Linked DNA regions of Ovis aries. The protein of the gene in region 2 interacts with the protein of the main gene of each other region in a biochemical or structural test. Links are inferred from orthologs where the notes say so. Each region holds a gene or a part of one and is shown on either strand. Other genes may lie near its edges.

The links.
Region 1: the proteins of RET (region 2) and TLN1 interact in a surface display test, tested with the Homo sapiens proteins (2 studies listed by BioGRID and IntAct, with this or other methods). The link is inferred for Ovis aries from reciprocal best matches to the Homo sapiens genes RET and TLN1.
Region 3: the proteins of RET (region 2) and GRB10 form a complex in vitro, tested with the Homo sapiens proteins (2 studies listed by BioGRID). The link is inferred for Ovis aries from reciprocal best matches to the Homo sapiens genes RET and GRB10.

The regions. Positions count from the first base shown.
Region 1 is NC_056055.1:52,839,161-52,842,803, forward strand, and holds part of TLN1 (talin-1), read left to right. Parts: intron 1-1,301; coding exon 1,302-1,487; intron 1,488-1,611; coding exon 1,612-1,719; intron 1,720-2,218; coding exon 2,219-2,324; intron 2,325-2,510; coding exon 2,511-2,635; intron 2,636-2,737; coding exon 2,738-2,863; intron 2,864-2,971; coding exon 2,972-3,034; intron 3,035-3,143; coding exon 3,144-3,326; intron 3,327-3,478; coding exon 3,479-3,607; intron 3,608-3,643. UniProt on the Homo sapiens protein: High molecular weight cytoskeletal protein concentrated at regions of cell-matrix and cell-cell contacts. Involved in connections of major cytoskeletal structures to the plasma membrane.
Region 2 is NC_056078.1:12,821,162-12,824,804, forward strand, and holds part of RET (proto-oncogene tyrosine-protein kinase receptor Ret), read left to right. Parts: coding exon of another isoform or gene 1-775; exon of another isoform or gene 776-1,144; intron 1,145-1,503; coding exon 1,504-1,767; intron 1,768-3,535; coding exon 3,536-3,643. Other genes in the region: ras GTPase-activating protein-binding protein 1-like, read right to left, coding at 1-775. UniProt on the Homo sapiens protein: Receptor tyrosine-protein kinase involved in numerous cellular mechanisms including cell proliferation, neuronal navigation, cell migration, and cell differentiation in response to glia cell line-derived growth family factors (GDNF, NRTN, ARTN, PSPN and GDF15).
Region 3 is NC_056057.1:5,911,162-5,915,288, reverse strand, and holds the start of GRB10 (growth factor receptor-bound protein 10), read right to left. Parts: upstream 2,842-4,127; 5' UTR 2,413-2,841; exon of another isoform or gene 2,170-2,412; intron 1-2,169.

The DNA.
Region 1 (3,643 bases), on a different chromosome or scaffold from region 2:
CTGCTACCAGCACCTTGTCAAAACCATCATCAGGCCTTAGCTGTGTTTATGTGACAGCATCTGTGTAAACTCCCTGCTTCTCCACTTACCTCCCCCTCCCCAGTCAATCCTCTCAACACAGGATAATTTTTTGGGGGGTGGGGGGGCGCCTCACCATGCAGCTTGTGGGATCTTAGCTCTTCAATCAGGGATTCAACCCAGGGCCATGGCAGTGAAAGTGCTGAGTCCTAACCTCTGGACCGCCAGGGAATTCCCAGAATAATCTCTTAAAAATATAAATCAGGTTATGTCACTTCAGTGCTTACAATCCTCCAGTGACTGCCCTGGCATCTTTGGTAAAGTCCGCTCTCCACACCAGGGCCTTCCAGGCTCCAGGGCCCCTGCTGCCTTCCCCAGTCTCTCCTCACCCTTCTCTCCTCCGGGCCAGGGGCCAGGCCCCTGCAGTCTCAGCTCCACCCACTGCAGACCCTTGTTCTTACTCTTTACCAGTTTTTTGAACATCTGGCCCCTTCTGATCCTTCAGGCTTCAGCTTAAACATCCCCTCTGCCAGAAGCTTCCTTGACCACCTTTCTAAAAAAGAACTTCCTTTTTCTTTCTCATCACAGCACCCTTTTTCCCCTTCACAGTGTAGTTTCCCTGCTCATTCACCTATTTATCATTTGTACCCAAAACCAGAATGTAAGGTCCATGAGGACAGGACCTTGTCTAGCTTATTCCCCGCTGCACCCTCAGCACCTCACGTAGTCTCCCACCTAGCTGATCTTTAGTGGGATTGAATTTGTTGGGTGAACACATACAGCAAAATATTTTTATGACTTTTACATACTGTGTAAAATTCTAAGTTCCTTGTTCTGATATCCAAGGTCCCAACAGCCTTTTCTCTGCCATCCCTGTGCTCTAGAACATTTCTTAATACTCTCTCACACTTGACATCCTGGTTATTTGTGCTCTGCTACTATGTCAGTGCACTCCTGTTATCTGTATCCTTAAGACCCAGCTCCTTACCCACCTTCACCACTTGCCACATTAAGACTTCTCTTTAGGAATGAAAAGCCAGCACAAAGGTACTTGCTTAATTTCAAATACACTTTCCCCAATCACTTTAGTCAGAAATGAGGACCAACTGCCTTCTGTTGTATTAGCTGTGAACGTGTGAAAGTCTCCTAGCGCTGATCTACAGTAACTACTCAGTGGCTGCTTGTTGACTGAGTACGCAGATGAATGAACCAGTCACACAAGTGCTGCACCATCTCACAGCCTCCCTCACCGTGGAGTTTTTCTTCTTGCTCTACCCCAACAGGTCTTCTGCTCCCCAGAGCCACCTGCCAAGACCTCTACCCCTGAAGATTTCATCCGCATGACCAAGGGTATCACCATGGCAACCGCCAAGGCCGTTGCCGCTGGGAACTCCTGTCGCCAGGAGGATGTCATCGCCACAGCCAATCTGAGTCGCCGTGCTATTGCAGATATGCTCCGGGCTTGCAAGGTAGAAATCCCGGCGGTGAGGCAGGAGTGTAAGGCAGCTTGAGGGCAGCACATGGTAGGGGAGAACCTGCAGGGACTTGGGAGCTCTTTGGGATCCTAAGGCTAATGTATACTCTGTGCTACAGGAAGCCGCCTACCACCCGGAAGTGGCTCCAGACGTGCGGCTCCGAGCCCTACACTTTGGCCAGGAATGTGCCAATGGCTACCTGGAACTGCTGGACCACGTGCTGCTGGTAAGGCGGGAGGTGTCTGTTCCTCACAGCGGCCTCCCTGAATACACAGGCCTCAGGCCTGCACTCTAATCTTTGGTTCAGATCTCCTCCCCACCCCCCATCTGTTCCCCGAGTATGTTCTTGTTTCCACATCTCCCTTCCTCTGGAGCTCCATCAGTTTGAGCATCTTTGGTTCTCCTACTCACCTCCTCCTCTTTCTCTTGTCTCCTCTCTTCCCGCCTGCCCTCTCCCTCCTCTACCTCCTCATCTCTTCTTTCTTCTCATTTCATCCTTCTCCTGGCTCCTTGTCAGCTGGTGAGTGACACATAGCCTCACTGTCTTCACCATGCATGCAATGTGATGTCTGGCGTGCTCCTGGATAGACTGTGTACTGTTTCAGGCTGTGGTGTGGAGAGGCCTGGGGTAGGGGTGGCGGGAGGGGGCGGGCTCTCCCCTGTTTCAAGGGTCAAGGTAGAAGCTGAGATCTGATGCTCTCTGCCCCCTGCCCCCTCTTCCCCAGACCCTGCAGAAGCCAAGCCCAGAATTGAAGCAGCAATTGACAGTGCACTCAAAGCGTGTGGCTGGATCAGTCACTGAACTCATCCAGGCTGCTGAGGCCATGAAGGGTAAGGGGTGACCAGGGGCAGGGAGGGAAGGGAAACCCTTGTTCTGGGGAGAACTCTGCTTCAGGGAGGCTGCTCAGAGATGGCCTCTGCAGAGTCTTCACAGATGCCAGGGCCTGGTGACAGTAAGCACACTGCCCGGTGCTCCTGATCTCCCTTAGCCCCTTCCCTCCTTGCTTTGTCCACCAGGAACAGAATGGGTGGACCCAGAGGACCCCACAGTCATTGCTGAGAATGAACTCCTGGGAGCCGCGGCCGCCATTGAGGCTGCGGCCAAGAAGCTGGAGCAGCTGAAGCCCCGGGCCAAACCCAAGGTCAGCCCTGCTCCCTTCTTCTCCCCTCCGCTCAGAGTGTCTGCACCTTCAGCCTCCCCTTACCCTGCATCTCTCTCTGCCACTTCTGTCTCTTTTTTGCAGGAGGCGGACGAGTCCTTGAACTTTGAGGAGCAGATACTGGAAGCTGCCAAGTCCATCGCAGCAGCCACCAGTGCCCTGGTGAAGGCTGCCTCAGCTGCGCAGAGGGAACTGGTGGCCCAGGGGAAGGTAAGGACTTGAATACCAGCAGCTTTGCCTTCCACATGGCATGATGGTCTCCTCCGGGAGGCTCTCAGGAGGGCACAAGTCTCAGCAGACTCCTGCCCTCCTCCACAGGTGGGCGCCATTCCAGCCAACGCACTGGATGATGGACAGTGGTCCCAGGGCCTCATCTCTGCTGTGAGTGTACAACTGCCCCTGTGCCCCTCTGCACTTCAGGGACTTGAGAGGCTGGAGAGGGGATGGACCAGGGCAGGAGGCATGTTCTAACCTAATCTCCCTGCTTCAGGCCCGGATGGTGGCCGCGGCCACCAACAACCTGTGTGAGGCGGCCAATGCAGCTGTCCAAGGCCACGCCAGCCAGGAGAAGCTCATCTCATCGGCCAAGCAGGTCGCCGCCTCCACAGCCCAGCTCCTCGTAGCCTGCAAGGTCAAGGCCGACCAGGACTCTGAGGCAATGAAGAGGCTTCAGGTGAGGCCCCCTGGCCCATCTCATGTGCCTTGAGCTGAGCTGCTTTCAACTGTCACCCCTGACATGCTTTCTGCGAGGGAGATGGGGGCCTTGCTCAGCTGGGACCTTCCCAAGTTCTCATCTCACACTGCCTGCTCTCTCTCTCTGCCAAGGCTGCCGGCAACGCAGTGAAGCGAGCCTCAGACAACCTGGTGAAGGCAGCCCAGAAGGCTGCAGCCTTTGAAGAACAGGAGAATGAGACCGTGGTAGTGAAGGAGAAGATGGTCGGGGGCATTGCCCAGGTAAGCTCTGAGGGACATCAGCGGGGCAGTCACAGT
Region 2 (3,643 bases):
GAGAAGAACTCTTCTGAACATCCTCAGGAGCAGTTTCTTCCAATACTGGCTCAGACTTTTCCTCCTGGACTTCAGATACAGGTTCCTGCTCTGGTCCTGGTTCCGGTTCAGGCTCTGGTTCAGCAACAGCTTCTTCTAAATGTTCTTCTAAGTCATTGCTGACAGTTTGATCATAAAAAGTTCCAGAATCATCAGGTACCACCTCAGGTGTCTGCTGTCTTTCTTCAGGCTCCTCTACTTCTTCTTCAGATTCCTCCTGAGGTTCAGTGATGAAGCCACCAAAGACTTCATCTTGGTATCTGAAGATATCGTTGTGAACATAGAACTTATTTGCAACAGAGCCCTCAGGAGCAAGGACAAAGGTCTGCATGAATCTCCTTAAAGCCTGGTTGTTATTAGAGAGCAAGCCCATCACCTGGACCACCACACCGTCATTCAGAGTAGCATGAGCATCAACGTGGCGGATCTTAGTGTGGCAATTGGTGAAGTTTTGTGACATCACTTTCCTGTGGATTTCTTTCTGTCCATAGACGGCATCTGCTGGCTTTCCGTTTGAATCCAATCCCCCATGGACATAAGAAGAGTTCTTTCCATAAAACCTGTGTAGCATGTCTGGGGCCTGGTTCAACAGTGTATAATACTGTCTCACAAATTCCCGCCCGACCAGCAGGGGACTAGGCTTCTCCATAACCATTGCTTTGGTCAATTCAGCCTCATCGGGGCGTTTCAGGAGTAAAGAAGAAACACAAGTTGCTCCGCACAGTGCCTGGCACATAGTGAGGGCTTAGAAAAATGTTAGTTATTATCATCACTCAATACCCATGAACTCGCTGCCCCTTTACTCCCTGTAAAAAAATTCGAAAACCTAGGAGCAGCATTTCGGCTTCCAGTGTCGAAAAATTCTCACCGCACTTCCGTGCCTCACCTCCCCCCTCCCGCACCACCACCACCATCAAAGAAAAGCCTCCTCTGGTCTAGGAGGAGCCCCCACCAAAGGAGGAAGGCCTCGCTAGCGCGCGGGGAAAGCGAACGGGAAAAGCTGACGATCCGGCCGCGCGGGGCCCCAGGCCCCCAAGATCACCCTGAGGCCCGGGCGGCGGCCGCGGCTCGCCCCCGCCCCGCGTGGCCGTTGGGCGCGGCACGCGCACGCGGCGGACGCGGACACGGCCACGCGCGCCGGGCCAGTGGGGGCGGGAGGCGGAGAGTCGCCGCGCGCCCGTGCCCTCCTTTTTCTGTTTTAAAGCAGTGTATTTGCAGCTAGTGTTTAGCTCTACAGATAACTGTGTGTTGATGTTCTTAGGACTACAGACGAGAAAGACCTACTTAGATCAGAATTTTAAATTAGTAAGGTTTTCTTTTTGGCCCACAAGGAAGCTATTACTAAAATGTGAAGTCAAGCCGCTGGGAAAGCTGATCTGCCTGGGAGGGCTGCTGGGCTTTGCCGTCTCGATCACCGTGGTCTTCCCTCCCTCCCTCCCTCACGTGTTTCCCTGCCTCCCACAGCCCCGCTGGGACTCTACTTCTCCAGGGACGCTTACTGGGAGAAGCTATACGTGGACCAGCCAGCCGGCACGCCCCTGCTCTATGTCCACGCCCTGCGGGATGTGCCGGAGGAGGTGCCCAGCTTCCGCCTGGGCCAGCACCTCTATGGCGCCTACCGCACGCGGCTGCACGAGAACGACTGGGTCCGCATCCAGGAGGACACGGGGCTTCTCTACCTTAACCAGAGCCTGGACCACAGCTCCTGGGAGAAGCTCAACATCCGCAGTAAGGGGGGGCCCTGACCCCACCCCCACACGCCTCACTGCCCACGCCCTGCCCTGCCCTCTCCTTGTCCCTCCTCAGCGCCCATCACACAGTTCCTAGGGAGTGAGGTGGGGCTGTCCTCTTTGTTCAGCCCGTGAGGGAGCCAGGATGAGCTTGAGGACCACTGAGGACCCTCAGGCCTTCTGAGGCTGTTGGGATTTTGGAGAACTTATGTGTAGGACTTGAGGGGCTCACTCCGTGCTGGCTCCAAATGTCTTTTCTAGTTGGATTAACAGAGATGTGGGGTTGTGAGAGAAGAGTTAAGAAAGGCTAGAAAAGTCCCAAGATGTTGATTTAGCGGATGGTCTGGAACTTGGTGGAGAAGCAGCTGTTTGCACGGAGAACCCACCTTGCCGTCAGCAGCAGGCTGTCCTTGGCACCTGGTGAGGACTGGGGCCTGGTGCCAGGGAGGAAAGTGGACAGGAGGAAGGCCTGGCCGGCTGCTCAGAGCAGGGGTCCAAGCTGGAGCGAAGCCCACGTGCAGCCCTGGCACTGGGAGGAGGGTGTTTGTGGAGCAGAGTGCTGCCTTGCGGCACCAAATGGTGATCACAGCCCCACCTCCTGCTCCACAGACGGGGCCTCCCTGGACCCTCACGCCAGCCCTGAACTCCTGTGAGTGCTGAGAGCCAGGCACTGTGCTGTGAACAGTACTGCCAGAGTGGAATTTGCCGAGGGTCTGAGTTTCATAGGAGGCGTGTTCTGTCCTCATGCACCTGCCAGCTCTAGTCAGGAGAGAAATCATGGTAATTAGAACAGAGAAAGTTTACATGGAGAATTATTAACCACAGCAGGGAACTGGAGCAACAGAGGACAGGCTAGGGAGAAGCAAGGACTGATGAATATGGGAGGAGCAGATGTGAGGCGGGGACACTTCCCTAGGGCTGAGATAGAAGGCCCAGGAAGAGCCCCTGCCCCAGCTGAGATCCAGACGGGTTGGAGGGGTTTGCTATAGTGCCTCCATGATGGAACTTGCCAGAAATCCCCTCTCGAGGTGCTGGGGAAGTCTGTGTCTCTGCAGGGGTGGCATGGTATTCCCTGGGTCCAGTGGTTAGGACTCTGCACGTTCATTGTTGAGGTCCTGGGTTCAGTCCCTGGTCAGGGGACTAAGATCCCACAAGCAGCAGCACGGGCAAAAATAGAATAGAATAAGTGTTTTATTTCTATTTATTTTTAATTGAGGGATAATTACTTTACAATATTGTGTTGGCTTCTGCCATACATCACAATGAATCAGCCACAGGTATACATACGTCCCCTCCCTCCTGAAACTCTCTCCCACCTGCCACCCAATCCCACCCCTGTAGTGTTTTTAAAAGTGAGAAAAGAAAGAAAGTGCCTGGGGCAGTGGGTGAGGGAGAGAAGGGAGGTCGCCTGAGGTGCCAAGAGCCCTCCTTGGGGAAGGGCTCCATCTTAGACCCAGGGCTCAGGGCACCTCTCTGAGGAAGGGTATTTGAACTGAAACTCAGAATAACCAGAGAGGTGGGCCTGTGAGGCACCCCCAGACAAGGGAGCAGAGCCTCAGGGCCCTGAGGCTGCCAGATCCCAAGTCCAGGGCCGTAGCGGGGCAAGCAGGAGGTGGAGGCCAGGGCGGGGTGCCCAGCAGAGCCCTGCAGGCCTTGGTGAGAACTAGGCTTTGCACCAGCCCCGAGCTTCTGCCCTCTCCCCATTCAGGTCCCAGCTAGGCAGGTGTGGCTGACGCCCCGGTGGGGCCTGACTTGTCTCTCTGCAGACGGCGGCTTCCCACTGCTTACCGTCTATCTCCGGGTCTTCCTGTCACCCGCGTCCCTTCGTGAGGCCGAGTGCCAGTGGCCGGGCTGTGCCCGAGTGTACTTCTCCG
Region 3 (4,127 bases), on a different chromosome or scaffold from region 2:
GAAACGTGCCATGAAGTAGTAACACAATGTAAAAGCCAGCCAGCGCCTGAACGGGTGCGATCAGTTTTACACCCGTTGGTACAAAGACCTTGTTGACGGTTCCCAGGTCCCCAAAGCACCCATTTGCCCACCAAGTCACTTGTCTGTTCTAACATCTTCCTTAATCTCCCAAACGCCCAGTTAAGCAAAAGATAAAGACAGGTGAAATAAAGTCTCAACAAGCAGAAAAAGTTTTAGTGAAATTATGAACATATGACTGACTACATACATGAAAAGCAAAACAAATGTTTTCTCTTTATAGATCCACATGATTCCACGTTGGTTTGACAGCATGAGAAACTGACAAAGGCATCACACCCCAAGCCGTGAACACACACACTTCCTCCCACGAAGCAGGACAGAACTCGCTACAGTCAGTGTCAGAGTTCCGACAGGCGGACCAGCCCACCACCACGCGTGGCTCTTTTCACCAGCGGTTAAGAGTTGGACCGAATTCCAAGGAAATAAGTTCCTTAAACTATGTCATCTTGAAACTTTTATCAGCTATACCAACCTAGAATTTCTAAAGCTGTAAGAGGAAGGTAAAGGCACAGCGGATGTCTTTGTTCATGCAGGAGCTTGGTTTCTATACATTGTCAAGACTTAGAACAGCCTCATCATCCAAATCAAAAGTTCAAGAGTCTGGCTTTGTTCCCCTCTCCTGTTTGAGGCTCAGTGGCCACAGAGATGGTCACTGTGACTGGGCCAGGGCTGTCCAGGTTCCGATCCTGGCAGCTACCACGCTACAAGCCCTGGCATGAATCTGCCCAGCTCCAGGTTCCTAGTCCACAATGAAAGGCATTTTGCCCAGTCCAAAAGCTACACACACCACAGGCAATACGCTCTAGATGATTTTAGCGGGGCACAGCTTTTATTAAAACACAGTTCTTATTACAGTAAACATAACCACCATATCAGACTCATGACTCTGTGGTATCAAAATTTCCTTCCAAAACAAATTCGTATCTAAGCACAAAAAGTGAGCGGAGAAAAGAAAACACTGATAATAGCCTAGTGATAGGGCAGGTATCCAGGAGCCACGGGAATGGGAACAGAGTCTGCCGGTTCTCCGGGTGTCTGACCAGCCCAGGGACGCTCCTAGGCCATTTCTCTTTCAGATGCACAGAAGCATGAACCACAGACAACTGGGAAAAAACAAACAAAAAAAAGAACCCAAAGCTTAGGATCTGGTGACAGCTTTGGCATTTGCCAGCCATGTGATCGGACATGCATTTGTTAACCTCCTGAGCCTGGGTTTGTGCGTGTCTGATTCTTTGCCACCCCACGGACTAGCCCACCTCCTTGGTCCATGGGATTCTCTAGGCAAGAATACAGGACTGGGCTGCCATTTCCTACTCCAAGGGATCTTCCTGAATCAGGGGCCAAACCTGAGTCTCTTATATCCATCTCCTGCATTACTTGGTGGGTTCTTTACCACTAGCGCCACCTGAAAGCCCAAGCCTCAATTTCCAAACCTGTAAAATGGGGAGCAGGAGGCTGCAGAGGATTAAAAGTAATCAGGCTTTGAACGTGTGCCATAGACAGTGAAATGCCACACAAGTATCCCTTGCTGCACTTCTCAGTTACTTCTCAGTTGCTGGGTGTGTGACTGTCCTCAAATTCCCTCCCCGAGACCTGGGGGTTGGCCTGTGTGGCCATCTCTTTCAAATGTTTCCAGTAAAACTCAAATATTATATGCAATAATCCTAGAATTCTGATTCTTAACCGGAAAACCTAGTCATCTAGAATCATTCCTGGAAACACTTCGGTTTCAGAGCTTTTTTCCTAACAAAATACTTAACCTAAAAGACACCACCATCGCCAGAAGTCAGAACTTCTTTTGCCACAGAAACCTAGAACCTATCTATTTTTCCTCCTGGAAAGAACGAAGGAATCAGCGAGTCAACTCATGAAAAACGTCCGACTTGGTGCTGTAAACCCTAGTCAACGCCTGTTGCTGTGTTAACATGTGTTCTTAGTAAAACTGAGCGAAACGTTAGAGAAAGCACCACTTTGGAAACTCGGGGGCTCCGAACCGCTGAATCAGCATTTCCAGAAACAAAGTGTTCTGGGTTAGGCCTTGTAAACAGCAGCAAAGAGCAAGTTGTGCAACAACGCGTGTTTACTCACTAGCGCTACTTGTTTGGGTCTTTTCTCCGCATCTCTTGAATGAAGCTGGGGACAACATTTGCAAGAAAGCTTTCTCTCCAACGAATGCATCAGAAAGATCCGGGCCCGGGCAAAGTCACCTGTGGCTTCCCTACGTGACCCACCGTCTCACCGAGGCAAATGACAGAAACTTGGCGTGTCTTCCAACCCCAAGACAAGAAAAACACAATAAAAAGTAGAGAATGTCTCATTTCCATAACGCACATGCTCCAGGGCCGTCCTCAGGCAGGCGCGGGGAGAGGCGATCCGGAGGCCGAGAGTTGCATCAGAATCGCCTTCGGAGAACCGCACAGCTCTTATCACATTTCCCCGGCTGGCGGGCCGCTAACCCGCGAACCCTCGACTTGGGGTTAGGCCCCGGGGGAGGGGAAACGGGTCGCCAGCAGAACCAAAGGGAAAGATCCCAGGATCTGGCTCGCTCCAGCTCCTGAGGGTCCGGCCCCACCGCGCGAGCACGGGCGCACCGGGGGCTGCAGGGGCGCGCGGCGCCCACCCTCCAGGCGATCCGGGAGCGCGGCCTTGGCCCCGACCGCCCGGCGGCGCAGCCCCCACCCCGGCCCGGCCAGTGAGCCGCCGGCGTCGGACAGGAGGGCTCCAGAGGGCGCCGCCCGGGCTCCCCGGCTCCGCGGGGTCGCCGACGCCGAGCGCCGCGCCCGGTCCCCGCCCTCGCGCGCCGCAGCCCCCGGCCCGAGGCGACGCCCTTCCGCCCGCCGCGCCCCCGCGGCGCCCGGCGTCCCCGGCCCGGGCGGCCCGCGCGCAGACAATGACGCCGGGACTGCAGCCCGCCCGCCCGCCGGCCACAAAGTAACTTGGCGCCTCGCTCGCCGCCCAACTCCCTACCTGCCACGGCGCCGTTCGCTGCCGCCTCCGCCTGGCCGCCCGCGCCCCTCGGCGCGGCCGGGGCGGCGCGGGTCCCGCGGGGCAAGGGCGGCGCGCAGGGCGGTCCCGACCCCCGCGTGCCGCCGCCCGGGGACCGCGCGCAAACTTTGGCTCCGCGGCTTCCGAGCGCCCGCCCGCCGCGGCGCGCCGCTCGCGCTCCTTCCTGCCGCCTCCCGGCCTCCCCACCCCCTCGATGGGCTTTAAACCCGCCCGGCCCCGCCCGCCGCCGCCGCCGCCGCCGCCGCCTCCGCCTCCGCCGCCTCCGCCTCCTCCCCCGGTCGCTTTTCCTGCTCCTCCTCCCGCCGCCGCCGCTGCTGCCACCGCAGCCCGGACCGCTCGGGGCCGCCAGCGCGGGCAGGGCCGCGGCCTGGGCGCAGGGCGGGTCGCGGAGGGAGCTCGGGGAGCCGGCGGGGTGCGGCGCCGGGCGCGGGGCCGGGCGCTCCCGCAGGTCGCTGCTGCCGGGGGCTGGCACGGGGGACTGGAAGCCGGCAGCTGGGCGTGGGCGCCCGGACCCCTGGTCCCGCTCTTGGGACTCGCGGACGTAGAACCGCGACCACCCAGCCTGGAGCGCCCTCGAAACACACATCAGACCTCTCCTGGAAGGCAATTTGCAAGCGAATTCTTTGAAACTCAAGTTGAAACTGTGCGGCCCCATTCCCCGTCCCGGGCGCAGCGGGAAGACTGGACGGAGAAGCCTGAGGAGCGGCTGCTGCACTGGCTGTGCCTTGGGCGGCGGTTCCGCGTGGGACCGGGGAACCTGGGCTTCAGCGTCCGCCCGCCGCTGGCGGAGTCTGGAGCCTTGACCCCTCGTAGCCACAGTTTCCCTATCTGCGTACCCGCCCCGGAGCGCGCGTGGAGTGGGAGGCCCTGTTTATTTTCTGTATACCAACGGGCCTCAACGTCCTTAGCTTTGCAATAGGCTAATAAGCCCGCCTACGAGTAATGTCCTGAGGGTTAAATGAGATGTTAACTTGTAACATAAAGCGAAAGGTAAGAAGGAACCCCTACGTTCATCGACACCGTTGTAATTAACATGATTA